7 linked regions of the Macaca fascicularis genome follow. The protein of the gene in region 3 interacts with the protein of the main gene of each other region in a pairwise test. Links are inferred from orthologs where the notes say so. Each region holds a gene or a part of one and is shown on either strand. Other genes may lie near its edges.

Evidence for each region.
Region 1: the proteins of AMOTL2 (region 3) and GSTM5 interact in binary tests that used the Homo sapiens proteins (3 or more experiments, as listed by UniProt). The two-hybrid records come from large-scale screens. The link is inferred for Macaca fascicularis from reciprocal best matches to the Homo sapiens genes AMOTL2 and GSTM5.
Region 2: the proteins of AMOTL2 (region 3) and BRMS1L interact in binary tests that used the Homo sapiens proteins (3 or more experiments, as listed by UniProt). The two-hybrid records come from large-scale screens. The link is inferred for Macaca fascicularis from reciprocal best matches to the Homo sapiens genes AMOTL2 and BRMS1L.
Region 4: the proteins of AMOTL2 (region 3) and THRA interact in binary tests that used the Homo sapiens proteins (3 or more experiments, as listed by UniProt). The two-hybrid records come from large-scale screens. The link is inferred for Macaca fascicularis from reciprocal best matches to the Homo sapiens genes AMOTL2 and THRA.
Region 5: the proteins of AMOTL2 (region 3) and SMARCE1 interact in binary tests that used the Homo sapiens proteins (3 or more experiments, as listed by UniProt). The two-hybrid records come from large-scale screens. The link is inferred for Macaca fascicularis from reciprocal best matches to the Homo sapiens genes AMOTL2 and SMARCE1.
Region 6: the proteins of AMOTL2 (region 3) and ZGPAT interact in binary tests that used the Homo sapiens proteins (3 or more experiments, as listed by UniProt). The two-hybrid records come from large-scale screens. The link is inferred for Macaca fascicularis from reciprocal best matches to the Homo sapiens genes AMOTL2 and ZGPAT.
Region 7: the proteins of AMOTL2 (region 3) and MFAP1 interact in binary tests that used the Homo sapiens proteins (3 or more experiments, as listed by UniProt). The two-hybrid records come from large-scale screens. The link is inferred for Macaca fascicularis from reciprocal best matches to the Homo sapiens genes AMOTL2 and MFAP1.

Annotation. Positions count from the first base shown.
Region 1 is NC_088375.1:124,616,040-124,619,968, forward strand, and holds the start of GSTM5 (glutathione S-transferase Mu 5), read right to left. Parts: upstream 2,801-3,929; 5' UTR 2,768-2,800; coding exon 2,732-2,767; intron 2,445-2,731; coding exon 2,369-2,444; intron 1,938-2,368; coding exon 1,873-1,937; intron 1,565-1,872; coding exon 1,483-1,564; intron 1,385-1,482; coding exon 1,284-1,384; intron 108-1,283; coding exon 12-107; intron 1-11. UniProt on the Homo sapiens protein: Conjugation of reduced glutathione to a wide number of exogenous and endogenous hydrophobic electrophiles.
Region 2 is NC_088381.1:103,691,900-103,694,359, forward strand, and holds part of BRMS1L (breast cancer metastasis-suppressor 1-like protein), read left to right. Parts: intron 1-316; coding exon 317-443; intron 444-2,460. UniProt on the Homo sapiens protein: Involved in the histone deacetylase (HDAC1)-dependent transcriptional repression activity. When overexpressed in lung cancer cell line that lacks p53/TP53 expression, inhibits cell growth.
Region 3 is NC_088376.1:37,277,584-37,281,083, forward strand, and holds part of AMOTL2 (angiomotin-like protein 2), read right to left. Parts: coding exon 2,814-3,500; intron 1-2,813. UniProt on the Homo sapiens protein: Regulates the translocation of phosphorylated SRC to peripheral cell-matrix adhesion sites. Required for proper architecture of actin filaments.
Region 4 is NC_088390.1:61,131,610-61,135,883, forward strand, and holds the start of THRA (thyroid hormone receptor alpha), read left to right. Parts: upstream 1-1,474; 5' UTR 1,475-1,602; intron 1,603-4,274.
Region 5 is NC_088390.1:61,716,169-61,719,668, forward strand, and holds part of SMARCE1 (SWI/SNF-related matrix-associated actin-dependent regulator of chromatin subfamily E member 1), read right to left. Parts: intron 528-3,500; coding exon 355-527; intron 1-354. UniProt on the Homo sapiens protein: Involved in transcriptional activation and repression of select genes by chromatin remodeling (alteration of DNA-nucleosome topology).
Region 6 is NC_088384.1:119,824,018-119,827,973, forward strand, and holds the start of ZGPAT (zinc finger CCCH-type with G patch domain-containing protein), read left to right. Parts: upstream 1-1,156; 5' UTR 1,157-1,236; intron 1,237-1,665; 5' UTR 1,666-1,693; coding exon 1,694-2,274; intron 2,275-3,956. Other genes in the region: ARFRP1 (ADP-ribosylation factor-related protein 1), read right to left, coding at 162-260, 917-970. UniProt on the Homo sapiens protein: Transcription repressor that specifically binds the 5'-GGAG[GA]A[GA]A-3' consensus sequence. Represses transcription by recruiting the chromatin multiprotein complex NuRD to target promoters.
Region 7 is NC_088381.1:20,401,585-20,405,084, reverse strand, and holds part of MFAP1 (microfibrillar-associated protein 1), read left to right. Parts: intron 1-1,602; coding exon 1,603-1,822; intron 1,823-3,500. UniProt on the Homo sapiens protein: Involved in pre-mRNA splicing as a component of the spliceosome.

The sequences.
Region 1 (3,929 bases), on a different chromosome or scaffold from region 3:
TCCTCCTTTACCTTGTCTCCTGTAAACCATGGCCGCTTCCCCAGAAACTGTGAGTAGAGCTTTAGCTTTTCAGGGAGTTCCTCCAAGTATTTTGGCTTCAGTTTCTCCTGAGGCAGAAAACAGCTGTCACCACCCTCAGACAAAAGCTCCCTGCATAGACATGGCCTCCCCAGGGCTGTGGATGGCCCAGGCTGGCCGTGGGCAAGCAGCCGTCTTCCCCGCAACTAAAACTGGGGCAGTGCCCAGGCTTCAACTGGATACATCAGCATTTATTAGACTCTGACTGGGTGCCAGACCCTATCTGAAGTGATCAGAAGGCAGAGAGGAATGAGATGCTGTCCCTGAATCTGTCCTCACTGTCCTCCCAATGGCCTCTGGGTCAGCCCCAGGAGCGCCTGAGCACCTGGCAACCTCTGGACCCAGACATGGGCAGAATCAAGGATGCAAAGAACTACAGGAGCTCAGGGAAAGAAGTAGAAAGTTCCTTCTAATGCGGTGGCAGAAGAAAACAATGAACATTGAATAGTTTCCAGGGAGATGAGAAATTCAGGTTGAAAGGAAGAAGGGAGAGCCACCCTTTGACTGGCTCTGAGCTGTCTGTTATGAAAATGTGTGGATCCCTGTGCATTTCAATGACAGCACTTGGAAACTATTGAGAAGATGCAATTCAAGAGTGCCATTACATTCCTCTATCTTGTACTTGAGTCTATATATTCTAGGAGCAGGTAAGTGACGTGAACCAGCTGACAGAAATGACCCATGACAGAGGCCAGAGGCGATGAAGGAGATTCTGAACATGAACTTTATCATCTAGGAATTGAATTTCTATCCTGGGATGCCTGGATCGTGTCCTAAGATTGCTGGGAATTGCCTCTGCTTTTGTTGACATTGGAGTCGTGAGAATAACTGTTGATAGTATGGGAAAGCACTTGGAGGATGAGTGGTACCAAGGACTTAAGGAAAGACCAGTGTGTGCAGGAATGCAAGAGTCCTGGCCCCAAATCCAAACTCTGCCAGGTGCAGATCACTGGGGAGACTCACAAATTCTGGGTTGTAGCAGATCATGACCAGTTGCATCCGGTTGTCCATGATCTGGTTCTCCAAAATGTCCACACGACTCTTCAGAAGAGGAGATGATTCATGTGGATGTTTTGTAGAACCAGGCTATAGACGTTTCCAATGAGCAGGCCAGGGTCCGCTACAGGCCTGACTTTGTGAGTCCTTCTCTGCTCTGGGCCAGAAGCCAGGGAAAGGGGTGACTGGGAGTGGGGTGCAGGACTCACAAAATTTGGGTCAAAGCAGAGTCTGACCATCTCCATGCGGCTGTCCATAAGCTGGTTCTCCAAAATGTCCACAAGAATCTTCTCCTCTTCTGTCTCCCCACCTGCCACCCACAAAACACACTCACTCTGAGCATCACACCCCAATCCAGCCAAGGAGGAGGCCACCTTCCCCCCACACACTGCAGCCAACCACACTCACACAGGTTGTGCTTGCGGGCAATGTAGCGCAGGATGGCGTTGCTCTGGGTGATCTTGTGAGTCCCATCAATCAAGTAGGGCAGCTGGATGAATGGGAAACCGCGGAAGCTCAGTTGGGCCACCAGGCCCCCCAGCATCCCCATCCCATAAGCAAGGGCAGAGAGGAGACCGGGCACTCACTGTGCCTGCTCATGGCAGGCCTGAAATAAGAATACTGTCATATGGACGAATGAGCTTGGACACAGAACATCATGGAAGGGCTGTGTAGACAGCCAGGAGTGAGGGAATTGGGCAGAAGACTCCTGATCCTAACCCCTCTAAGCTGGGAGAGGAGATGCAGTCAGAGACACGTTGCACTTGCCCCCAAAACCGCCCCTTCCCCTGCACCTACATTGGGAAAGTCCAGGCCCAGCTTGAATTTTTCATTCAGCCACTGGCTTCTGTCATAGTCAGGAGCTGTGGTGGGGAAGATGAAGTGAAAACAAACCTCCCCAGAGCCCAGCCCTCCTTCCCCGAGACCCTCTCAAGGAGCCAGTGGCAAGACCCCTGAGACAGGTGGATCTAGAACCTGACCACTCAGCCCCACATCCCAGGGATAAGGGAGAAAGAATCCCGGTGGGGACTCTGGACCCCACGCGACTAAGGCTTCCAGGGTTTAGGCAAGCCCTGAGCGACACCCATCCCAGTTATCCAGACAGGGGACCCAGCATCCCGCCCCAGCATTCTGCCTTGCAAGGCCAGAGGGCTCCCTCCCCGGGACTCAGGGAAGGGAGAGCCTGCAGCTCCAGCAGGGGAGGCCTGCAGAGGCAGCCACAGCTGGCCACCATGGGTTGCTTGGTGCCAACTCAGCGGGAGTGGGCAGGGCCCGGACACGAAGGTGCCATTACCGTGCCCCATCCGGTACTTCTTTTCCTCGTAATTTGAGTCTGTGTATTCCAGGAGCAGGCGGATGGCGTGCGCCAGCTGGGAGAGATGGCACGCATGCAGCTCGGGTCAGAGATGGTGGGTCCCTGACTTGGTGACTTTCTCTGCACCAGTCGAGCCCCCAGTCTACACTGCACTTACCTGTCGCCTCCTCTACCCGCCCCCACCGCCAGACACACACACAGCGTCAGGCACAGGCCCTTCTGAGGGCGACCGCCCTGAAGAGGAACGGTCTCTAGAGCCCTTCCCTCAGCTGCTCCACACTTCCCTCCTCCACTTCCCTTCTCCACAGCCCTCGTCCCACCGTCCAGCGGACCCACGCTCACCCCGCGGATGTCCCAGTACCCCAGGATCATGGGCATGGTGCCTCTTGGTGCGGATTCTGCAGACAGGCCTCAGCCGAGCGGGGCTCAGACTTTATGAGAGACCCAGGGAGGGGAGAGGAGGGGCCTTGCTGCGATCCCGCCCCTCGGCCCGCCACGCCCCTGAAACGCGCCATTCTGAGGCCCCGGAGAGGGCGCCTGGGGCTGGAATCAGTAACACCCACGCCCGCCTCCCAGCCCCGAGGGTTCCCGGAGCGAGGTCAGGGCGCCCAGAAGCCGAAGGCCGGGATCACCCTCGCCAGCTTCCCCAACCCGCCCTGAGGCTCCACGAGTCCGTCCAGCACTTGCTAAGTCCACAGCGACTTGGCCGTGCGCATGAAACACCAGCCAGATCCTAAAGAAGCAAAAAGCTCTTCTCCCTTCTCCTCCCTGCCCGCGGAGTCCCTCAGCCTTCTCTCCGCTGCCCAGTTCCCGCGGGCTCTGGGAGACTCGGGCTGCAGGGATCAGACTAAAAGATGGTGGCCCCAACCTGGGAATTTAATTCTGCCCGTCACTGTCAGAGCAGGACTTCCTCTGATTCGAAAGCTACTCCGAGGGCTTTGTCTCCCCTCTAGCCCCGCCTACACAGGAACGGTGTCAGTGGTATGGGAAGGACCCCCAAGAAATGGGTCAGAGTAAAGGAAATGTGGTCTGTGTTTTCTGTTAGGGGCCCTCGGGTACTGAGTCCTTTGGTCATCTGACTACGTACTATGTAAAGTAGCCACTTCGTATTTTGGCACAATTTATGAATCTAAATTAAAGGATCAGACCCAGCAAGTTGGTGAGGTATCTGAGGTGCCCCCTGGAAATGTCCAGCCAGTCCACTAGGTGAACCTCACATAGACCAAAACAGCAACAGCAGCAGTGAGTACAGTGGCCACAGAGGGCAGGCGAGGGAGGGTGGAAGAACTTCTGGGACCAAACTGAGGGTCAGGCTGCTATTTCTCCAGCCCCAGTAACCAGATGCAGATCACCTGGAGAGGAAGAGAGGTTTTATTTCTGCAACTGGTTACAGGGAGAAGGTCTGGAAATTACCACCAGACCAACTCAAAATTACAAAGTTTTCCAGAGCATATATACCTTCTAAGCTATATGCCTACAAGTGAGTGTGCATCATCTAAAGACATAAGTGATTGACTTCTTTAATCTATAACTAAGTTCT
Region 2 (2,460 bases), on a different chromosome or scaffold from region 3:
TTATATTTTATATACTACTTAAAATTAGCACTAATAATTGATAACATACCTGCCTCCCCTTCTGGTACTTGATTAATCAATTGATGATTTATTGTTCATTGTTTAGCTTTGTTTAGTAGTTATATTAAAAACTTAATGATTATTTAAAAGAATGTAAGAAATAAATCTTTTTATTACATTTTAGGTTTGTTATTTAAGAAATATTTTTAGTCCTTTTTTACATATGCATGGATTGATATTAATTCTTAATATTCGGACCCTTTGTTCTTCTGACAGTGTTTTATTAATATAACGGTTTTTGAACTGATCCCTTTAGCACCTGTGAAACTGGAAAAACATCTGCACAGTGCTAGATCTGAAGAGGGAAGACTGTATTATGATGGTGAATGGTATATACGTGGACAAACAATATGTATAGATAAAAAAGATGAATGTCCTACAAGGTAAAAAAGCCTTTATTATTTCAGTGTTGCTCAGTATTGTCATTTACAACATTGTTGTCAATGAAAGATTTCCTGCCTCCATAGTGTACCTATATCATTAGTTGCTTGTGGATCCTTTTTTTTCACTTGACATATGGCTTACATCATGTGTGGACTGCAGTGTTAATATGTATGAACCAGACTTCATATTAAGTTTATGAACACAAACTTTAATGCAAGGGGAAATGTTGAAATTATTTAGCCAGGTAGCTGATCCTGTTTCTTAATTCTTCTAGTAGATGAATTGTTAGGATTGTGCTATAATGACCCTTAAACCAGACTATTAGGAATTTTTGGTGGAACTAGTAATCTTTAACTTTTTTGGATGTGTTAGAGTATTTTAGATAAAAAGAATTTGTATCAATTAGAGTAGGAAATAAATGGAAAATTAATAAAACCCTTAAGATTAATAGTAATTAAAGTATAACCTAGGGCTGGGTGCTGTGGCTCACACCTGTAATCCTAGCAATTTGGGAAGACGAGGCAGGAGGATTGCATGAGGCCAGGAGTTCAAGACTAGCTTGGACAACTTGGCAAGACCCTGTTTCTACAAAAAATAAAAAAAATTAGCCAGATATGGCAGTGTGTGCTTATAGTCCTAGCTGCTTGGGCAGGAGGATCGCTTGAGCCCAAGGGTTTGAGGCTCTTGGCCTCATTTCACCACACCACTGTATTCCATGCTGGGCAACAGAGTGAGACCTTGTCTCTCTAACAATAACAACAACAATGAAGTGTAACTTGAAAACTGCCTTTTAAAAGTCCTAATAATATGTCTAGGCTTAAATAAAGTTTATAAAACTATTTATATAGCCTTCTAAGTTTTATGTGGTTGTGACCTTTTGAAAATATTAATGTTCATCATCTTTCATTCTCCAGTGATGTAGGATATAATTCTCAGAGTAGTACCTTCTGTGGTAACAAAATGTGGTTTTGTAGGTATCGGTGGTAAATAAAACAACTTGAGTTTAGTCTACAGTACACATTTTCCAAATACAGTGGTTTTAATTGTAAGATTATAATTTTGTCTTTAAATTTTTAGGACATTGTGTATAATAGCTTTTCTCATAGAAGCTCATTGAACTAACTACTAGTTTATATATGATACTCCTGGATTCTTCTATTTATTTTATTGTTTTTGAGATATTTTACCACTACTTAGCATAAGAGTTGTTTAAAAAGAGATGAGGCCAGGTAGAATAGCTCTTTCCTGTAGTAATTCCATTACTTGGGAAGGCCAAGGCAGGAGAATCACTTGAGCCATGGTGTTTGAGACCAGCCCTAGCTGGTCTTTTTGTAGAGAACCCCATCTCTATAAAATAAAAAAATTATTCGGGTGTGGTGGCAGGTACCCTTAGTCCCAACTACTCAGGCTGAGGTGAGAAGATCACTTGAGCCTGGGAGGTTGAACCCTGATTGTGGCATTTCAACTTGGGTGACAGAGAGACCCAGTCTCAAAAAAAAAAAATTCCTATTCACTCTTTAAAAAATAAATAATTAGGCCGGGTGCAGTGGCTCACACCTGTAATCCCAACACTTTGGGAAGCCGAGGAAGGTGGATCACGAGGTTGGGAGTTCAAGACCAGCCTGGCCAGTATTGTGAAACCCCATCTCTATTGAAAATACAAAAATTAGCTGGGCATGATGGCATGTGCCTGTAGTCCCAGCTACTTGGGAGGTTGAGGCAGGAGAATCACTTGAACCTGGGAGGTGGAGGTTGCAGTGAGCTGAGATTGCGCCACTGCACTCCAGTCTGGGCGACAGAATGAGACTCTGTCTCAAAATAAATAAATAAAAAATATATAATTTTAAAAAAGAATAAAATATACATCTATTTCAAGAAGTAGATCTTTTTATGTAAAGATTAGTAGTGTAAAAAAAAAACTGGTATAAAAGTACTGTAGATGGTTTGATATTGGGAATTAGAGATTAGTATTTGAAAGATTTTCTGAAGCCAGGGCTGACATGAGTTACAAGTATG
Region 3 (3,500 bases):
AGGCATATTGGGAAGATGGTTATTATTCATAACTAATATTTATTAAAATTGCTGCAGATAATTATTCAACCCTCAAGTGGTAGGCAGGGACCAGTGGGGAAGGCCTTTTCCAAATGTTTCTGCCTAAGGCTCTCAAGAGTCAGACAGCAGAGCTGGAGGGGATTAATGTCAGGATGCTTGTTTCATACCCGCCTCACAGTGGCTGGGGCCTTGGAGATCAGCCTGAGCAATCCTGGGCCTCCTAAGCAACTAATGCTTAAATATGTCATCTTGAAAAATGCACCTTGACACTTCTAGTCAATGGAAGGTTCTTTTTGGGGCTGGAGGCCATGTCAATCATGACTGAGCATATAACCTTCCAGGGCCCAGGACAACTTGGTGGCTGGGCCCCAGCAGCAACCTTATGTCTATTACATGAGTGGCCAGTTTCAAGACTGCCAAAGCAGCACTCATTTTCTCCTTTCTATTTCAAGTCCTGCTACCCCCAGCCCCCACCCACCCAGAATCATTTTTAGAAGACTCCAGTTAAGGTTAGAACAGTGAGACAGATGTCAGGGTAAGAGTCTGAGCTCTAGAGTCTGACAAATAGGGGTTTAAATCCCTGCTCCAGTTGTTTAACCTTGGGCAAGTGCCTCAGCCCCACAGACAGGGCATTGCTCTGTTGCATCATGAGGGTCTCCAGCCTCGCCAGGGTTTGTGAGGATGATGCTATGTAAGGCCTGGCAGAGTGCGGGGCCGGTGCTGGGTGGGTGGCAGGTGCTCCTGTAGTGGTGGCCCATCCTCCATCTCTTCTAGTAGGAACCTCGGTTTACCCTCAGTTTAGAGAATAAATGTGGCCCAAACTCTGGGTTTCCTTGGGAGTAAGGGCTGCCTCTGGACTACTGTAGTTGCTGAGTTCAGGGGACAATGTTCTATTGGCCTCTGGCACTGGTGTAACATCACCCATAGGGCTCCGTATTGAGGGAAGGAGCAAAGGGCGAGAGGCACGGGGAGTTCAAGAGCCTTTCTGGGACCTTGTGATTCCCAGTGTCACAACTGCCGCAGTTTCACAAAGATTCTTCCAAGTCCCAGAAGCCCCACAAAACCCAAATTCTCCTTCTAGGTGCATCATGTCAGCACTCATGCACACCCAGCCTGCCCCTGCCTCCTGCCCCCATACAGCCTATGGCCCCCCTGCTCTTCTCAGGACCCTAGGCTAGGAGTCTAGCCCCAAGTTCCTAACAAATAATCTTCATCAGATCATCCGAAAGGGGATATTGGGCAGATGTATTTCTCCTACTATCTAAGATGGGGCTTCCAGTAAGAGCTGGGAAGAGGGTCCCCACTGGAGTACTCAAACTCTCCATTCCACTGCTAAAATGGCCATTCTCAAGGTTGCTTCAAGAACTTGCTCCCCCCTGCACTGGGCCAGGCAGACACAACTGGCATTCTTTCGGGATGACTTGGCTCTGAGAAAGAATAGCAACTCCTTTCCCTTCACACTTGCTTTCCTTTCTCCCCGTCCTCTCCCTCCCCCGCTTTTTGTTCTCCTGCAAACAGTCTACTTCCTTGCCACGATTACTATCTTTTCCTGACAGAGTTCAATAAGGCTGGTCCAAAAGAAGAAACCACCACTCAGCTTCCGAAACTCTTCCTGACCGAGCCCTGAGAAGGGCGATAAGGTGCGAGTCTGGAGGGGGTGGAGGCTGGAGAAAAACCAAGAGGCTCCATCCTCTGTTCCGCCATACCAACCCCATCATGTCACACATTTCTCGAGAGCAAGGAAAGGCCGGACGGTGGGAAAGTGGGTGACTAAAGGAAAACTCAGCAGGCATGAAGAGAACCAGACTTTGACCTTGGGCCACCAGAGGAAGAGTCTGAAATCCTTGGGGTCCCTTGGTGGGGTTTCTTGGACTCCCACAGGGGGAGATGCAGCAGTGATGGCTGTGTCTGCTTCTCTGAAAAGATGCGGGCCAGATGAGAAGCCTGAGGTGGGGCCTTGTTTCTAGGAACACTCATTTCTCCAAACTCTCTAGACTTCTTGCCTCCCCCAAGTCTTCCTGCTTCCATTTTGGCCCCTCACAAACCATGCTCTGCATGGTAGCCAGAAAGAGCACTTAGAAAAGGAAAACCAAATCACATCCCCCGAGGGCCTCCCAGCATACTCAGAATCAAACTCTAAGTCCCTGCCCTGACCCAGCAGCCTCTCCTGAGCCTCCCCAGAAAGAGGCCCACCCGGACCCAGAATCCTGTCCCACTGCAGGCTGCAGATGCAGGAAGCGTACGGCAGGAAATGGGGAGGAGAGACAGGGAAGCTCCTGCGCTGGTGTAAGATGCAGAGACGTCTGTAATGAGGCCACCGGGCCTTTCCAGCTTCTAGTTAGGAATGCCTCCCAATAATCATAGAAGGCAAGTTGCTCACATTTTCTTAAAAAGCCTCCAGAGAAGGAGGTCCCACCTTCTTCCTACTTAACTTGGAAACAGTTTGGCAATGATTCCCAACCTTGCCTTTAGGAAGTTATTTCTGAAATCTAACCTTTAACCGCCTGTTGCGATTTGTGTCCTCTGGGGACGGTAGTTACTAGAATGCTCAAGCTCAGCAGACAATGGTGCCTATCTCTGAACTAAGGCAAGGGACGCCACTAACTTCTTAGGGGACCTCAGTTACATCTCTCTTCTCTGCCAGGCAATAGCTCTCCCTTCTCAGGAAGCCTGGAGGTGGGGTGGGGATCTGGCCAGCTCTGACACAAGCTGTGATCTTGAGGCTCTCCTCCCTGACAGCCTGTGCTGGAGGATAAGCCAGGAACTGGAAAGCCCAAGGTGGGGAGAGTTACCTGACTTCAGCGTGCTGGAAGTGCGGGCTGCCGCGGGCACGGTACCGAGGGTCAGTGACAGCAGTGGTGGTCTCATGAGCTAGTACAACGTGAGGGTACTGAGGTGGGGGTCCTCGGGACTCTGGGCCCTCAGCAGGGGGGCCCCTCAGTGGGGGGCCCTGCTGGCTGCGGGCCAGCTGTGGGAAGCTGTGGGAGGAGCTCATGTGGCTGGGGGCCCGGGCGCCGTTCCTCTCCAGGGACAACTGCAGGAGCCGTTCACTCAGGGAGCGCACGTGCCCGTGCCTCAGCTCCCGCAGGGCCTCATCCTGCCTCCGACTGCCTCCGGGGGCCCCACGGGGATCTCGGTCCCCTGCATGTGGCCGGGGCCCCACCTGCTGGGCCGCATAGTACTGCGAGTGGGCTTTGGCCTCCTCATAGGTGGGCAGCTCCTCTCCCTTGCTGGGCTGTGGGCACAGCCGGTAGAGGGTGTTCTCTGCCAGGTGGTTCTCACCGCCCTGGTGCTCCTGGCCCTGGGGCTCCTGCCTGGTGGCTTGCTGCAGCACCTGACTGTCCTCTGGTGCCAGGATCTCCAGGGAGGCCTGGGGGCTCCCTGTGCCCCCAGTTCCTGCCCCACCCCTCAGGGCCTGCTGCTGGATGGCTAGCAGCGTGCGTGTCTCAGTCAGGTTGCCATAGCGCAGCTGCTCCTGG
Region 4 (4,274 bases), on a different chromosome or scaffold from region 3:
CTCCATAGTTCCAGGGACCCCAAGAGAGGTACCCTCCCCTCCACCAAGCATTACAAACTCCAGTACCCCCTGTGAAAGAAGTGGCTTCAACAGCACTGAGGATGCAGGTGGCTGATACTAAGACATGAGCAAGGGCAACCCAACTTGGGTAAGCTGTGGGTCAGAATCCCACACTCACCAAGTGATTCTGCCCAGTATAAACTGGGCGATTAGCCGAGCAGCTCCCCCTAACACACACACACTCGCATACACACACGCACCCCTCCCCAAAAGCAGACTGTGTAGCCAGAGCCCCACCCTGAGAGCCGTGGGAAGGCCGTGGCCCCCGCTGGTAAAACTGGGCTAATGACAGCAGGGGAACCGGCGGGGCCAGGGGGGTGCTGGGGTAATTAGGGCTCAGCCTGGCGCTAGGAGATCCTGAGATGAAAGGTGCTCTGGCGTCACTGGGTTGGTTTTATGTCCATGAATGCAGGTGTGTGGTGTGTGTATGTGTGTGCTGGGGGTGGGGCTGGCATGGTGGAGACCTCTCCTTTGGGTTGGGTTAGGGGGTCCATTTGTACGCAGCCCACCGTCTTCCTTAGGTTGACTCTGGTACCATTTGGATTTTCGTGGGAGCAAACATGGGGGGAAATACCACCACCAGGGAGCTAGGAATTGAGGGGGTATGGCAGCTCTTGTCCCCTCCCCAGCGCAGGAGAGGGAGCAGATTGTTGGGGAAATGGCTGGTGACAGAGAATAGAAAGAGCCTATATGGAGAAGGGTGACGTTGGAAAGGGGAGGCAGTGGATCGGTATTGATGTTAGAAATGAGAGGGGAGGGAGGTAACGGGGAATGAGCCCCCACAAGGATTAAAAACGTAAGATGATTGAAGTTAAAAGGACATCAGGGGTCACCTGCCCAGCCTTCGCACCTGAAGCTTGAGGAAGCTCTGCCCCCGACAGCAGTGGCGATTTGTCAAGGTCACACAGTGAGTTACTGGCGGAGAAGGGACCCGAACACCCAAACAAACTCTACACCTGCAAGCATTTGGTGTTTAGACTTTCTCCCCCATGTATAAGGTGCAGGCGGCTCGTCGATACTTCCTCCTCCACCCCCACGGTGCACACCCGAAAACCCCCCAATTCTCCCGGCAAGCAAAGGCTATTTTTTAATGACATCTTTTCCAAAATATGTCACCAAGTACCCACTCCTGCGGGAGCCGCCCGGGCGGGGGAGGGCGAGTCAGAGCGGGGCGGGGCAGAAGCGGCCGAGGGGCGGCCGGGCCTCTGGCGGGGGTCCCGGGGCGCGGCAGGGGGCGGGGGGCGGGGGCGGGCGGCGGCGAGGCGGCCTGCAGGGAGCAGCCGCGAGCCGGCCGGGCGCGCCGAGCCCGAGCCCCAGCCGGAGCGGGGCGGGGGAGGGAGGAGCCAGAGCGGCCGCCGCCTCTGCCGGAGGAGCCGCGGGGCCGCCACACTCGCCCCCCGCCCCCCCCGCGCTCACTCGCACTCACACCCGGGCGCAGGAGGCGGGCGGCCCGGGCCCCACCGGCCCCCCATGGACGCCCCCAGCACGGGGCGCTGAGACCCCCGCGTCGCTGCCCAGCCCGGTCCAGCGCGCCACGCCGAGGTAAGGAGGAGGGAGCGAGGGCATTAATATGCAAATGCCTTGCGATTGATTATGCAAAGCCGCGGGGCTCCGTGGCCAGCTCCCAGGCGGGCTGGGGGCGCCCAGGGGGTACCCGCTGCCAGCCTCAGCCTTTCCCGGCACCCCAGTGACCCTGTCACGAGCCCGGGAGCGTCAACTGACGCCCTGGGGAAGGGAGGTGTTGTAGGAGGTCGGTGGGCCCCGGGGTTCGCAGGCGGAGATGGCGTCCGAGCCTCCCCCTCGAGGGCCCGCCCGGCCTCTGTCCGGCCAGTCTGCTGCGCATTCCCGGGCCGGGCCCCGTTGCCGGCCGCCGGAGCTCCCCCCGCCCGCCGCGCCGCGGTTTGTTTACGGTGCGCCGGAGGCCTGCCCCCCCCAGCCCCCACCCCTAGCCTCTGAGGCCGAGTGGCCTTTGCAAAGCTGCCTCCAGCTGCGGAGGGCAGTATGAGTGCGGTGGCGGTGGTGGGCTTGCACGGGTCCTGGGAGAGGGAAGTTCCCCCCCTCGCTTCACCCGCCTCCCAGTTGAGCATGGCTGTCTGGTTGCAACACTCCTAATTGCAAAAACGCGGCTGTTGGGGGGAATGTGTGTGTGGAGGGGGTGTACTTGATGGTGCCTAGATGATTAGGAGAGTTGCTGGCTGGGGAGGACAGGGAGAAATGGACCTGTTTGTGTACCCCACCTTGTTTCCCTCCCCTTGCAACGTGTCTCTGGTGCCCCTTCTGCATGTGGGGCCCTCCCTTGTCCAGCGTGAAAGAAAGGCCTGGGGGATGACAGGGGCAATTGAAAGAACCACCGTTCCAGGGGTGGGGGTGGGGGACACAGAAGGAAAGACAGCGAGGTGGGAGCCTGCCCCTCAGTGCTGCCTTTGGCTCCAGGAGGGGGAGGGGATGAAGGGGGCTGTTGTCCAAAATGAGGGGGGGAAGCAAAAGTGACATGCAGACACAGAGATATGTCCACACAGACAGCCACATGCACACCCAGGGACACCCAGGCGGACTCAAGGACAGGAGCTACTGGACACACCCACATGGGGACAAGGGAAGAGGCAGGCTGCTGCTGCACCGTGGAGCTCAGACGGGTGGGATATACCCACGGGAGACCAAGAGCATGGGGACCGACCCATGCACATACCCACCCACACACAGGGTCACACGGAGATGCTGTCACACACTGGGGCAAGGAGGAGTTGCTGTCACCCACACATAAAAAGTCACTGTCACATGCATGCATGCACACAGAGCAATTGCACACAGCCGCACAATTACAAAAGACCCTGTCACTCACAGGCACACACGTGCTCGCATGAGCCCAGTCACACAGACATCATTGCTTGCCGTGACAGTCGCTATCACTCAGTCAGATGCAAACACAGTTACACATCAACACATGTATACACAACTTAGCAACAAGTATTTTCCTGGACTCTTACTGTGGAACTCTGAGGTTCTGCAGGCAACAAAACCCTTGCTCCCAAGAATATTAAATTTGGCTGTATGAAAAGGTGTTCCTGCGTAATGGTGCAAAGCCTGCATTCCTAATGACATCTTCTTGGTCTCTATCGATTGAGATACCACCCTACTAGACAGTGAGCTCTTAGAGACCTGGGAGAATCACTTAAAGAGCTCTGGATGCCACCCAGAGCCTAGCACAAGGGCTGCTCTGTAAATACTTGTGAGTTGATTGACTGTGGAACCTGCAGACACAGGTGCACTCATTTGCACATGGTCCCCTGAACTAAGGTACAGAACGAGTTCATGAGGCCCAGGTCCCCACAGTTGCAGGTCCACACCAACAGTCGTGTCCACACAACCCCAGATGCACACAACTGGAGCCTGTGCAGCCAAGCACACACTTAGATGCACACAATCACAGACTTTTCCCCTTCAGCTTCCTCCTCCCTTTTTCCTCTAGGCTCAGCCACTGTGCGGGAATGGGCTTTTTTTTTTTTTTTTCTTTTTTTTCTTTCTTTCCTTTAGAGGGACAGAGAAACAAGAGCAAAGACAGTGGGTTCAGGGGGGTTCCAGAGGGCCGAGTCATGGGCTCAAAGCAGTATCCAGTGACTTCTAGAAGCTGGGATTCTCTTGACTGCTGGGGGAGGGGAGAGCTGCTCTTCTCCCTACCCTAAAAGCTCTGGGGTGTCTAACTGCCCCTGCTCTGAGTCATTTGCCTGGGCCTTTCCCGGGAACAGTCAGTCACCCCCAGCTGAGTTCCTGCATCCCACCTTGAGTCTGGCCCTTTTTCCCACCTGGACCCTTCTGTCCAAACTTGGAAGCTTTCCTTAAGAGGCCATCGGCTGGCGAGTGTCTGTATGAGTGATGTGTATTTTTGACTTGGAATTTCTCTCTAACTCTGTTTCTCTTTCTGTTGTTCTGTCTTGCAGTGTCTGATTCTCCCTCCCTCTCTCCTTTTTCCTCTGCCAGTCTGTAACTCTCTCTCGCCCTGTCGCTACCCCCCGTCTACCCCTGTCCTTGTCTCAGAGCTGGGGACTGGCAGCAATGTTCTTCATACTTTTCCAGTTGTTAATACCCAAGCTCCGCCCCTCGGCCCCCCCCCCGTGCAGCCTCTGGGGTCAGCTTGAGGTTGGGGTGGGGGGCGGGGGGCTCAGCTGGCTGCTCAGGACTTCCTGCACTTCCTTAGTGCTGCAGCTGTGGCCAGC
Region 5 (3,500 bases), on a different chromosome or scaffold from region 3:
CAAAGAAATGATTATGATCAATAGGTAAATGTTAAAGAATACTGTTTCAGGCCTGAGCAATTCCTTTGGAAAAAGTATTTAGTAGAGCAGTAAAGACTGATAGGACGCCTCAAAATTCTTAAGTTCACATGTACTTCTTAACAAATATACCTTCCATTACAAGGTTCTATATTATAGTTTTTAATGACAAACTTATTAAACATTTGGGAAAGGTCCACTTCCTTAAACCTCTTCTCCAAATCAGGAACAGTTTAGACTGACATATTTAACAGGTACATTTAGGCATGGTGTAGGAATCACGTCAGCTGGGATTTGTGGTATAGGTCCATTTTATTGAAAGTTTTATGACTTTACCTGATGAACCATTAAGGACTGGACCTGCCGTTTGAGGACCTGCATTCTAGCTGTTGTGACAACTGACCGAACGTCTGGCACCACACTCTCACTAAGAATTTCACTGATGAGGCGGTGGTTTCTCTGGAAACGGGCGGTGGCTGTATGCTTCATTGAAAAGCCATCATCATAATCTGCAATGAACAAATTGTTCTGCAAAGTAGGTCACCAGTAACCATAAAAAGGAGTGTAACATGTTAACACTTAATTATCAAGGAACCATGGCCCTTGCTGGCCTAACAAGGGGACCTGACCAGCGTCATGGGAGCACTGGGCAGTTACTTGATAAAAACCATACAGAGGACGTAATGTGTTCACTGGCCAAGGTAGTAATTTATCTCACAGTCTTTAAGTGATGATGTGTGTCTGAGAAGGCTTTGGCTAAAACATAAATGAGATACAACATGTCTCTTCTGGCTTTGGAATCAATGTGAAGGCTGCATGTGATGGCAGTAATTGAAATTCTGCCCAATGTTTCACTTTCTTGGTAGTGACTTAAGGCATTTAACAACTAACGAACAACATATGAACTGGGCAGTGACTTTATGAAAATGCCAATTCGTAAAATTATCACAGCAGAGGAAACATCATCTCTAACAATATTCAGTTTCCCAGGCCCTCAAGGAATTTTATAGAAGAAAAATAAATGTTTTGATTCCAAATTTAATTTTTGTCAGTTTACACTTAGCCAGCTGTACGGGTCTGGTTTATATGCTTCTGTTTTGTTTTGTTTTGAGACAGAATCTCACTCCGTTACCCAGGCTGGAGTGCAGTGGCCCAATCTCGGCTCACTGCAACCTCCACCTCCCGGGTTCAACCGATTCTTGTGCCTCAGCCTCCCAAGTGGCTGGAATTACAGGCACATGACACCATGCCCAGCCAATTTCTGTATTTTTAGTAGAGATAGGATTTCACCATGTTGGCCAGGGCGGTCTTGAACTCCTGACCTCACATGATACGCCCATCCTGGCCTCCCAAAGTGCTGGGATTACAGGTGTGAGCCACTGCGCACACCCTATATGCTTATTTTTAATAGGTATCTAGTGTTTCCTTAATCTCAGTCTTTGCTCTATCGCCTTCATAGTTTTTCATATATCTACTAACAGCCTGTACTATTGTTTACTTAATATTTTTCTTTAAACTAACTCATTAAAAAAAAAAAAAGCTTTCTCTGTAGCAATACATACAAAACAAATGCTCCTTTTTGACCCACTTAATCACCTCAGTGTCCCACCAGACAGGGAGGAACCATACTTGAGCAAACCTTGTTACAGAGGAAACCCTGTTACAGAGGAAACCCCATTACAGAGGAAACCCCGTTACAGAGGAGAAAGCCCGTTACAGAGGAGAAAGCCCGTTACAGAGGGAACCCTGTCACAGAGGGAACCCTGTCACAGAGGAAAGCCTGTCACAGAGGGAACCCTGTCACAGAGGGAACCCTGTCACAGAGGGAAGCCTGTCACAGAGGGAACCCTTTCACAGAGGGAACCCTGTCACAGAGGGAAGCCCGTCACAGAGGGAAGCCCGTCACAGAGGGAAGCCCGTCACAGAGGAAACCCCATTACAGAGGGAAGCCTGTTACAGAGGGAAGCCTGTTACAGAGGACACCCTGTTACAGAGGGAAGCCTGTCACAGAGGGAAGCCCGTCACAGAGGGAAGCCCGTCACAGAGGAAACCCCGTTACAGAGGGAAGCCCGTTACAGAAGGAAGCCTGTTACAGAGGACACCCTGTTACAGAGGACACCCTGTCACAGAGGGAAGCCTGTTACAGAGGACACCCTGTCACAGAGGGAAGCCCGTCACAGAGGGAAGCCCGTCACAGAGGGAAGCCCGTCACAGAGGGAAGCCCGTCACAGAGGAAACCCCATTACAGAGGGAAGCCTGTTACAGAGGGAAGCCTGTTACAGAGGACACCCTGTTACAGAGGGAAGCCTGTCACAGAGGGAAGCCCGTCACAGAGGGAAGCCCGTCACAGAGGAAACCCCGTTACAGAGGGAAGCCCGTTACAGAAGGAAGCCTGTTACAGAGGACACCCTGTTACAGAGGACACCCTGTCACAGAGGGAAGCCTGTTACAGAGGACACCCTGTCACAGAGGGAAGCCCGTCACAGAGGGAAGCCCGTCACAGAGGGAAGCCCGTCACAGAGGGAAGCCCGTTACAGAGGGAAGCCCGTTACAGAGGGAAGCCTGTTACAGAGGACACCCTGTTACAGAGGAAACCCCGTTACAGAGGGAACCCTGTTACAGAGGAAACCCTGTTACAGAGGGAAGCCTGTTACAGAGGAAAGCCTGTTAGAGGGAACCCTGTTAGAGGCCTTTGTGGTGCTCCTATGTCAGTTTAGCACCTCTCTTATTGTCTTGCACTTAAGCAGTTCCTAAAATTCTCATTATCATAAATACTATAGCTAAAAACTGTTGTTTTTGTAAAAAGTTAAAAAAATTACTTTTCTTTCCTTTTGAGTAATTCCTTTAGGAAATAAACTTCTGAAATTAAAACTATTAGGTAAGATACAGTTTTTTAAAAACTCTGTAATCTTTCTACTTTTTAAGAGTTTTTCACCTTTAGGGTTATATGTGGTATATCTGTGCTACGTCTGTCTAAGTTATCTGTTTTTGTTATTTTTTATTTTCTTCTTTCATTTATATGGCCCCAGTGTTGACCACAGATGGGGTAATAAGGTCTAAGAATTTGGGCTTGTTCTTCCTTGCATGTAAGTCATCTGCTTCCTTTTTTCGGGGAATGGCTTTTCTAATTATGATCTAATTGAACAGCTATTTATCCCATGAAGAGGCTCTCATTGAACAAAAGCCTTCATTGTCTTGTGTAGATAATTGCACATGCCCTCTTTTTTTTTTTTTTTTGAGACTGGGTATTGCTCTGTCATCCAGGATGGAGGGCAGTGGCATGATCATAGCTCACTGCAGTCTCGAACTCCTGGGCTCAATTGATCCTCCCACCTCAGCCTCAGTTGGAGCAGCTGGGACTACAGGCACAAGCCACCATGCCCAGCTAATTTTTAAGTATTCTGTAGAGATAGAGTCTTGCTGTGTTGCCCAGGCTGGTCTCAAACTCTTGGCCACAAGCAATCCTCCTGCTTTAGTTAAAA
Region 6 (3,956 bases), on a different chromosome or scaffold from region 3:
AAAGCAACACTCTGCTCTTCAGGAAGCTGGTGGTGACAATCCTGTCGTCTCAGGTGAAATGTGGATTCCATCTGGGTAGTGAACATGCAGCTGACAGCACAAAACCGAAGCGGGGGCCACCCGGCCGTGGGAAAGGTGCGGGCAAGGGAGTGGGCACTCACCGTCTTCCCAGCATTGTCCAGGCCCAGGATCAGGATGCAGTACTCGTCCTTCTGAAACATGTACTTGTACAAGCCCGACAGCAGCGTGTACATCCTGCCCTGGGCGCCCCAACATGTGTCAGTGTGCAGCCGGAACGCAGCTCCCCGCCCCCGGGCTTCTCCACGGTGGTCAGGGGCGCCCCACGTCCAGCTGGCCGCTCAGGACCAGAGCCTGGGGGCCATTCCCGACTCTCCCTCCTCCACCGCACCCCTGCAACTCCTCCCAGGCCGGCCGCCACTCCGTCCTTCCGCTCACAGCAATGACTGCGACCTTTCCGAACCCGCAGCGGCTCCGGTCCCTCCCCTGCTCGCGGGACCACCCAGCCGGGTGTTCGCGGTGAGCTCCGCTGCGCTCCCGCCCTCCCCCGAGGTTTCGCTCCCACGCTTCACGCGCGCGGAACGGGGAACACACTCGCGGCAGCCCCGCCTGGGCCCCCGCGCCCCACCCGGGAGCAGCGAGCCGCCGGCGCGCTCCCCAGGAGCTCCCCAGGGACGCCCCATCAACCCATTTCTTAAAACGGGGACGGCCAGCGGGAAGCGGACTACAGGGCGGGTGCGCAGCGGCCCGGCTGCTCCCGGAGGCGGCGCGCGGCGGGCAGGGAACGACTCCCGCGGAGAAAGAACCCGCGTCGGGGACCCCGGCTACGGCCGCCCCATGCCGCGGCCGCCAGGTTGGAGGCTCGCCGACAAGCAGCCAAAGCTGGTTCCTGTCACACCTGCGTCCCACCTCCAGCTCTGGGCCGCCCCTCGGGCCTCGCGCCCCACCGCATAGCCTGCGGCCTACCTGCGACCGCCGCGACCTCGGAGCCGCCGCTGCTGACCCCCGCTGACCTCCGCTGACCCCGCGCTAACCCCGCGCGGCGCCTGACGGGACGAGAGCCGGCCTCAGGGAAGGAGCTGAAACGCGTCCCGGCGGCCTCCGCGCTCCGCTTCCCGGCTGCCCCCGCGCGCCAGGCACTTCCGGAAGTGGCGGCGCTCGGGAGGAAGTGCTGGTCGGCGGCGGGGACGAAAGGGGGGTGCCGGGCCGCTCTAGCCGGTGAGGCCGGCGGGCTCTCTATGGCGGCGGCTGGGAAACCGCGCGGGGGAGGTTCCCTGCCCGGGGAGAGGGGACCCCGGTTTGCGGGGACGCGGCCTTGGCCAGACTGCAGAGACGCCGGGCGCGGGGGCGGGGCCGGCCTGGAAGGCAGCGGGCGCGGCGGGTGGGCTCGGCGGAGGGCCGGGCGGCGGGGCGCCCCGCGGGGAGGGGGTCTCCGGAGTGACGCGGGACCCGGCTAGCGGCGAGCCCAGGGCGGCTCGGAAGGGAAGCGCGGAGCCTGAGCGGGGGTACCCGGTCTGCGACCTCTGCGCTGGGAGCTGTGCCTCTGAGCCGGTGTCTCCCCGAGGGACAGGGGACGTGCCCGTGCCCTCCCGCAGTCTGTGGGGCCGGTCCCGAGACGCGAGGCTCACCTGGCTTCTCTTCTCGCAGCCCTGGTCCAGCGCCTCCCTCTCTCAGCATGGACGAGGAGAGCCTGGAGTCGGCCTTGCAGACCTACCGTGCGCAGCTGCAGCAGGTGGAGCTGGCCCTGGGCGCCGGCCTGGATTCGTCTGAGCAGGCGGACCTGCGCCAGCTGCAGGGGGACCTGAAGGAGCTCATCGAGCTCACCGAGGCCAGCCTGGTGTCTGTCAGGAAGAGCAAGTTGCTGGCCGCGCTGGACGAAGAGCGCACGGGCCGGGAAGATGCTGAGTACCAGGCTTTCCGGGAGGCCATCACTGAGGCGGTGGAGGCGCCAGCAGCAGCCCCTGAGTCCGGATCAGAGACCGTTCCTAAAGCAGAGGCGGGGCCCGAATCTGCAGCAGGTGGGCAGGAGGAGGAAGAGGGAGAGGACGAGGAAGAGCTGAGTGGGACAAAGGTGAGCGCACCCTACTACAGCTCATGGGGCACTCTGGAGTATCACAACGCCATGGTGGTGGGAGCGGAAGAGGCTGAGGATGGTTCGGCGGGTGTCCGTGTGCTCTACCTGTACCCCACTCACAAGTCTCTGAAGCCGTGCCCGTTCTTCCTGGAGGGAAAGTGCCGCTTCAAGGAGAACTGCAGGTAAAACCCTTTGTTATCAGGATGCCAACCTTGGGGCGTAAGGGGCACGCACACAGGGTCGGGTCAGGGTGGCCCTCCCTTTGCTTTGCAGTTTTGTCTCAGCTTCTTGGGGCAGGCATGCTTTGTGACAGCAGTGTCTGTGTTCAGGCGTCTGCGTCTTTGTTCCGGGGTAAATCAAGAAGCATAGAAGGTGGCCGGGTGCGGTGGCCCACGCCTGTAATCCCAGCACTTTGGGAAGTCAAGGCGGGCAGATCACCTGAGGTCAGGAGTTCAGGACCACGCTGGTCAACATGGTGAAACCCTATCTCTGTTAAAAACACAAAATTCAACTGGTCGTGGTGGCGCGCACCTGTGGTCCTAGCTACTCAGGAGGCTGAGGCAGGAGAATTGGTTGAACCCAGGAGGCCAAGGTTGCAGTGAGCGGAAATGGAGCCACTGTACTCCAGCCTGAGCAACAGTGCAAGGCTTATGTGGAAGAGAATAGGTCTCCAACCTATCGTCATTGTTTTTTTGTTTGGTTGTTGTTTTAATTTTTTTTGAGACAGGGTCTTACTTTGTCAACCAGGCTGGAGTGCAGTGGCGCAGTCCTGGCTTACTGCAGCCTGGACCTCCTGGGCTCAACTGATCTCCTGCCTTAGCGCCCCTAGTAATTGGGGTACAGACTCACACTACCACATCCAGCTAATTTTTGTATTATTATTACTTGTTTATTTATTTATTTTTTGAGATGGAGTCTTGCTCTGTCGCCCAGGCTGGAGTGCAGTGGCGCAATCTCGGCTCACTGCAAGCTCTGCCTCCCGGGTTCAAACAATTCTCCTGCCTCAGCCTCCCTAGTAGCTGGGATTACAGGCACCTGCCACCATACCTGGCTAATTTTTTTGTACTTTTTAGTAGAGACGGGGTTTCACCGTGTTAGCCTGGATGGTCTCAATCTCCTGACCTTGTGATCCGCCCACCTCAGCCTCCCAAAGTGCTGGGATTACAGGCGTGAGACACAGTGCCTGCTTTTTTTTTTTTTTTTTTTGGAGATAGAGTTTCACTCTTGTTGCCCAGGCTGGAGTGCAGTGGCATAGTCTCAGCTTACTGCAACCTCCTTCTCCTGGGTTGAAGTAATTCTCTGCCTCAGTGTCCAGAGTAGCTGGAATTACAGGTGCCCACCACCACGCCCGGCTAATTTTTTGTATTTTTAGTAGAGACAGAGATTCACCATCTTGGCCAGGCTGATCTTGAACTCCTGACCTCGTGATCTACCCGCCTCAGTCTCCCAAAATGCTGGGATTACAGACGTGAGCCATCACGCCTGGCTAATTTTTGTAGTTTTAGTAGAGGTAGGGTTTTGTCATGTTGTCCAGGCTGGTTTCACGCTCCTGAGCTCAAGTGATCCACCTGCCCTGGCCTCCCAAAGTGCTGAGATCACAGGCATGAGCCACTGCGCCCGGCCCTGTTGTTAGTTTTATTCTCTAGAGTTCAACTTGAAAACTTTACTTTTTTTTTTTTTTTTTTTTGAGACAGAGTCTCGCTCTGTCACCCAGGCTGGAGTGCAATGGCTTGATCTCAGCTCACTGCAAGCTCCGCCTCCCGGGTTCACGCCATTCTCCTGCCTCAGCCTCCCGAGTAGCTGGGACTACAGGCGCCCGCCACCTCGCCCAGCTAATTTTTTTTATATTTTTAGTAGAGACGGG
Region 7 (3,500 bases), on a different chromosome or scaffold from region 3:
TATTTTTAGTAGAGACGGGGTTTCGCCATGTTGGCCTGGCTGGTCTCGAACTCGTAGCCTCAACTGATCTGCCCATCTTGGCTTTCCAAAGTGCTGGGATTACAAGCATGAGCCACTGTGCCCAGCTATATATATTTTTGTGTTTGACACAGGTTCTCACTGTATCACTCAGGCTGAAGTGAGTGCCTTGCTGTGGTCACGGCTCGCCACAGCCTTAACCTCCTGGACTCTAGTGATTCTCCCACCTCAGCCTCCCATGTAGCTTGGGACCACAGGCATACACCACCATGCCCAGCTAATTTTTTTATTTTTAGTAAAGACAAGGTCTAACTTTGTTGCCCAGGCTGGTCTCGAACTCCTGGGTTTAAGCAGTCCTCCTGCCTCAACCTTCCAAAATGCTGGGATTACAGGCATGAGCCACCGCACCTGGCCCCCTCATTAATTTTCTAAGGTTAAACTATTCTTGTAGTCTTGAGCTAAATTCTAATAAGTTGTGTTGGCTTAGGGGTTTTTTGTTTCGGGTTTTTTTTTTTTTGGTAGTTTTTATATCGCTGGGATAAATTTGCTCTTATGTTATTTAATATTTTTGTATTTGTGTTTGTAAGTGAAATCCACCTAAAGTTTTCCTTTGAACTGTCCAATTTGGTTATCAAGGTTATACTCATAAAATAAGTTGGTTAGTTTTCACTGTCTCTCTTTGTTCACTAGAATTGTTTATATTTGTAGGCTGGGTGCTATGACTCACGCCTGTAATCCCAGCACTTTGGGAGGCCGAGGTGGGCGGATCTTGAGGTCAGGAGATGGAAACCATCCTGGCTAACACGATGAAACTCCATCTCTACTAAAAATACAAATAATTAGCTGGGCATGGTGTAGCGCATGCCTTTAGTCCGAGCTACTCAGGAGGCTGAGGCAGGAGAATTACTTGAACCCAGGAGGCGGAGGTTGCAGTGAGCCGAGATCATACCACTGCACTCCAGCCTAGGCGACAGAGTGAGACTCCGTCTCAAAAAAAAAAAAAAAAAAAGAATTGTATTTATAACAGATTACCTACTCTTGCAGGTTTGATAACACATAAGGTAAAGGAAAAGAAGGTAGAAATAAGTAAGATTAGAATATTGAGTCATGTGGTAATATGTTATAAAGGCTGCCGTGGAAATCCCAGAGGGAACTACAAGAATGCCTGAGCAGCATTTTAGTTTTATGTTCCTGCAGAAATCATCCTTACTATGTGGTGGGCACTGTTACAAATAATTTGTTTAAGGGTATAGTTGAGGTGGGATGCCATGAATTTGTGATGGATGCAGTCTGCCTTTTTGCGGGGGACTTTTTTCTACTGTTTCACTGCCTGCCTTCCTCCACTTCATTGTACTCAAGGTAAGCCTCATTATCATCAGTGTTGGCTTTCACAAGGAGGCAGTCTCGTGACTTGGCCTTTGTAGGAAAACACTATTAGATGAATAGATGGTTGGGTAGTGGCTCTTTCTTCTCCTGCTTAGACTCTTGTCTACTATGAATAAAGGGCTCTATTTGCAAAGGCCATAATGGGATGAAGCACATTGAGAAACAGGCTACTGAAACATAGTTATTTTTCTCACCCAGGTGAGATTTCAATGGAAAAAGTGAAGGTAAAGCGTTATGTGTCCGGAAAGAGGCCAGACTATGCCCCTATGGAGTCCTCAGATGAGGAAGATGAAGAATTTCAGTTCATTAAGAAAGCCAAAGAACAAGAAGCAGAGCCTGAGGAACAGGAGGAGGATTCATCTAGTGACCCCCGGCTACGGCGTTTACAGAACCGTATTAGTGAAGATGTGGAAGAGAGGTAATGTCTGTGATTGTGTTTTACTTGAACATGAACCTCTACAGCTTAATAATAATAGCTAATACTTGAATAGTACTGCCAAGTAGCTGACATTTGCTAATTGTTGTAATCCATACAATAGCTTTATGAAATAGGTGCTATTATCCCCATTTCACAAAAGAGGAAACTAAGAGCACAAAGGGGCTAAGAAAGTTACATGACCAAAGTTACAAAGTGGCAGCTTCAGAAAACAGCAGGTTACTTCTGGCCTAAAGGACCTACTCAACTCCTTACGGGAATAGAAAACACAGACCATTCGTTGGCTGTTGAGGGGAGTCTTTTTAGCACAAAGATGTTTTATAAACTTTGGTAAATTGATTTTATACATCTGCTTATTCTAAATGCTAATAAGGGGAAATGACACTGAAGCAGGAGAAAAGACCTCATAAAGGTCTCATTGTAGAAAGTCTCCCAGTGAGGGATTTTGTATGTTATATACTGATTGAGACATTACCTTAATAGAGCAGACCAGGGGTCCTGAACTTTCACCGTTCATAATTGTCCCAGGGGTTTTTTCACAGAGCTCCTGGGCCAAAACAGTTCTGTTTATTTTAGTTAGTAAGTAGTTAGAGCCAAGTAACTTAATAAGTATTTATGTCCTAATAACTTTGCCACTTGAAAATTACAGTGCCCATGGCCGGGCGCAGTGGCTCACACCTGTAATCGTAGCACTTTGGGAGGCCGAGGCAGGTGGATCACGAGGTCAGGAGTTCAAGACCAGCCTGGCCAACTTGGTGAAACCCCATCTCAACTAAAAATACAAAAAAATTAGCCAGGCATGGCAGTGGGCACCTGTAATCCCAGCTACTTTGGGAGACTGAGGCAGAGAATTGCTTGAACTTGGCAGGCGGAGGTTGCAGTGAGCCGAGATCATGCCACTGCACTCCAGCCTGAGTGACAGAGTGAGACTCCGTCTCAAAAAAGAAAAAAGAAAAAATAAATAAAATTACAGTGCCCATGGGGAAAAAAACACTTTTATTCATTCTCACATAACCACAGTTACTAGTGGAATTTGTGTGCCTATTGGACACTGACAGCCTTGCAGACCTTGGAATCAGCACTGTCACTTTTTCATGTCTTGTTTTATATTGATATTCACACTGTACTTTTTACCACAGCAGCCACCAAAACCCAATTTCACGAAGATACGATATTCTCAAAAGGAATGTAATATGACTTAATGTTGAAACTGAATTACCTTGAGCTATTGAAAATATCCCAATGCAGGCCACGCTCGGTGGCTCACGCCTGTAATCCCAGCACTTTGGGAGGCCAAGGCAGGCGATCACCTGAGGTCAGGAGTTCAAGACTAGCCTGGCCAACATGACGAAACCCCCTCTCTAGTAAAAATACAAAAATTAGCCGGGTGTGGTGGTGCACGCCTGTAATCCCAGCTACTCAAGAGGCTGAGGCAGGGAGAATCGCTTGAACCTGGGAGGGGGAGGTTGTGGTGAGCCGAGATCACGCCATTGCTCTCCAGCCTGGGTAACAGAGTGAGATTCTGTCTCAAAAAAAAATCCCAATGCATCCCTATGAGTTTGCTGGCTTGCTGTGGTGCCTTAGGATGCCTCAACATACGTTTAGTATTTCAGGCCAAACTTGGCTATTTGCTCTGACATCCTAGTCTAGTTCCTTTAAT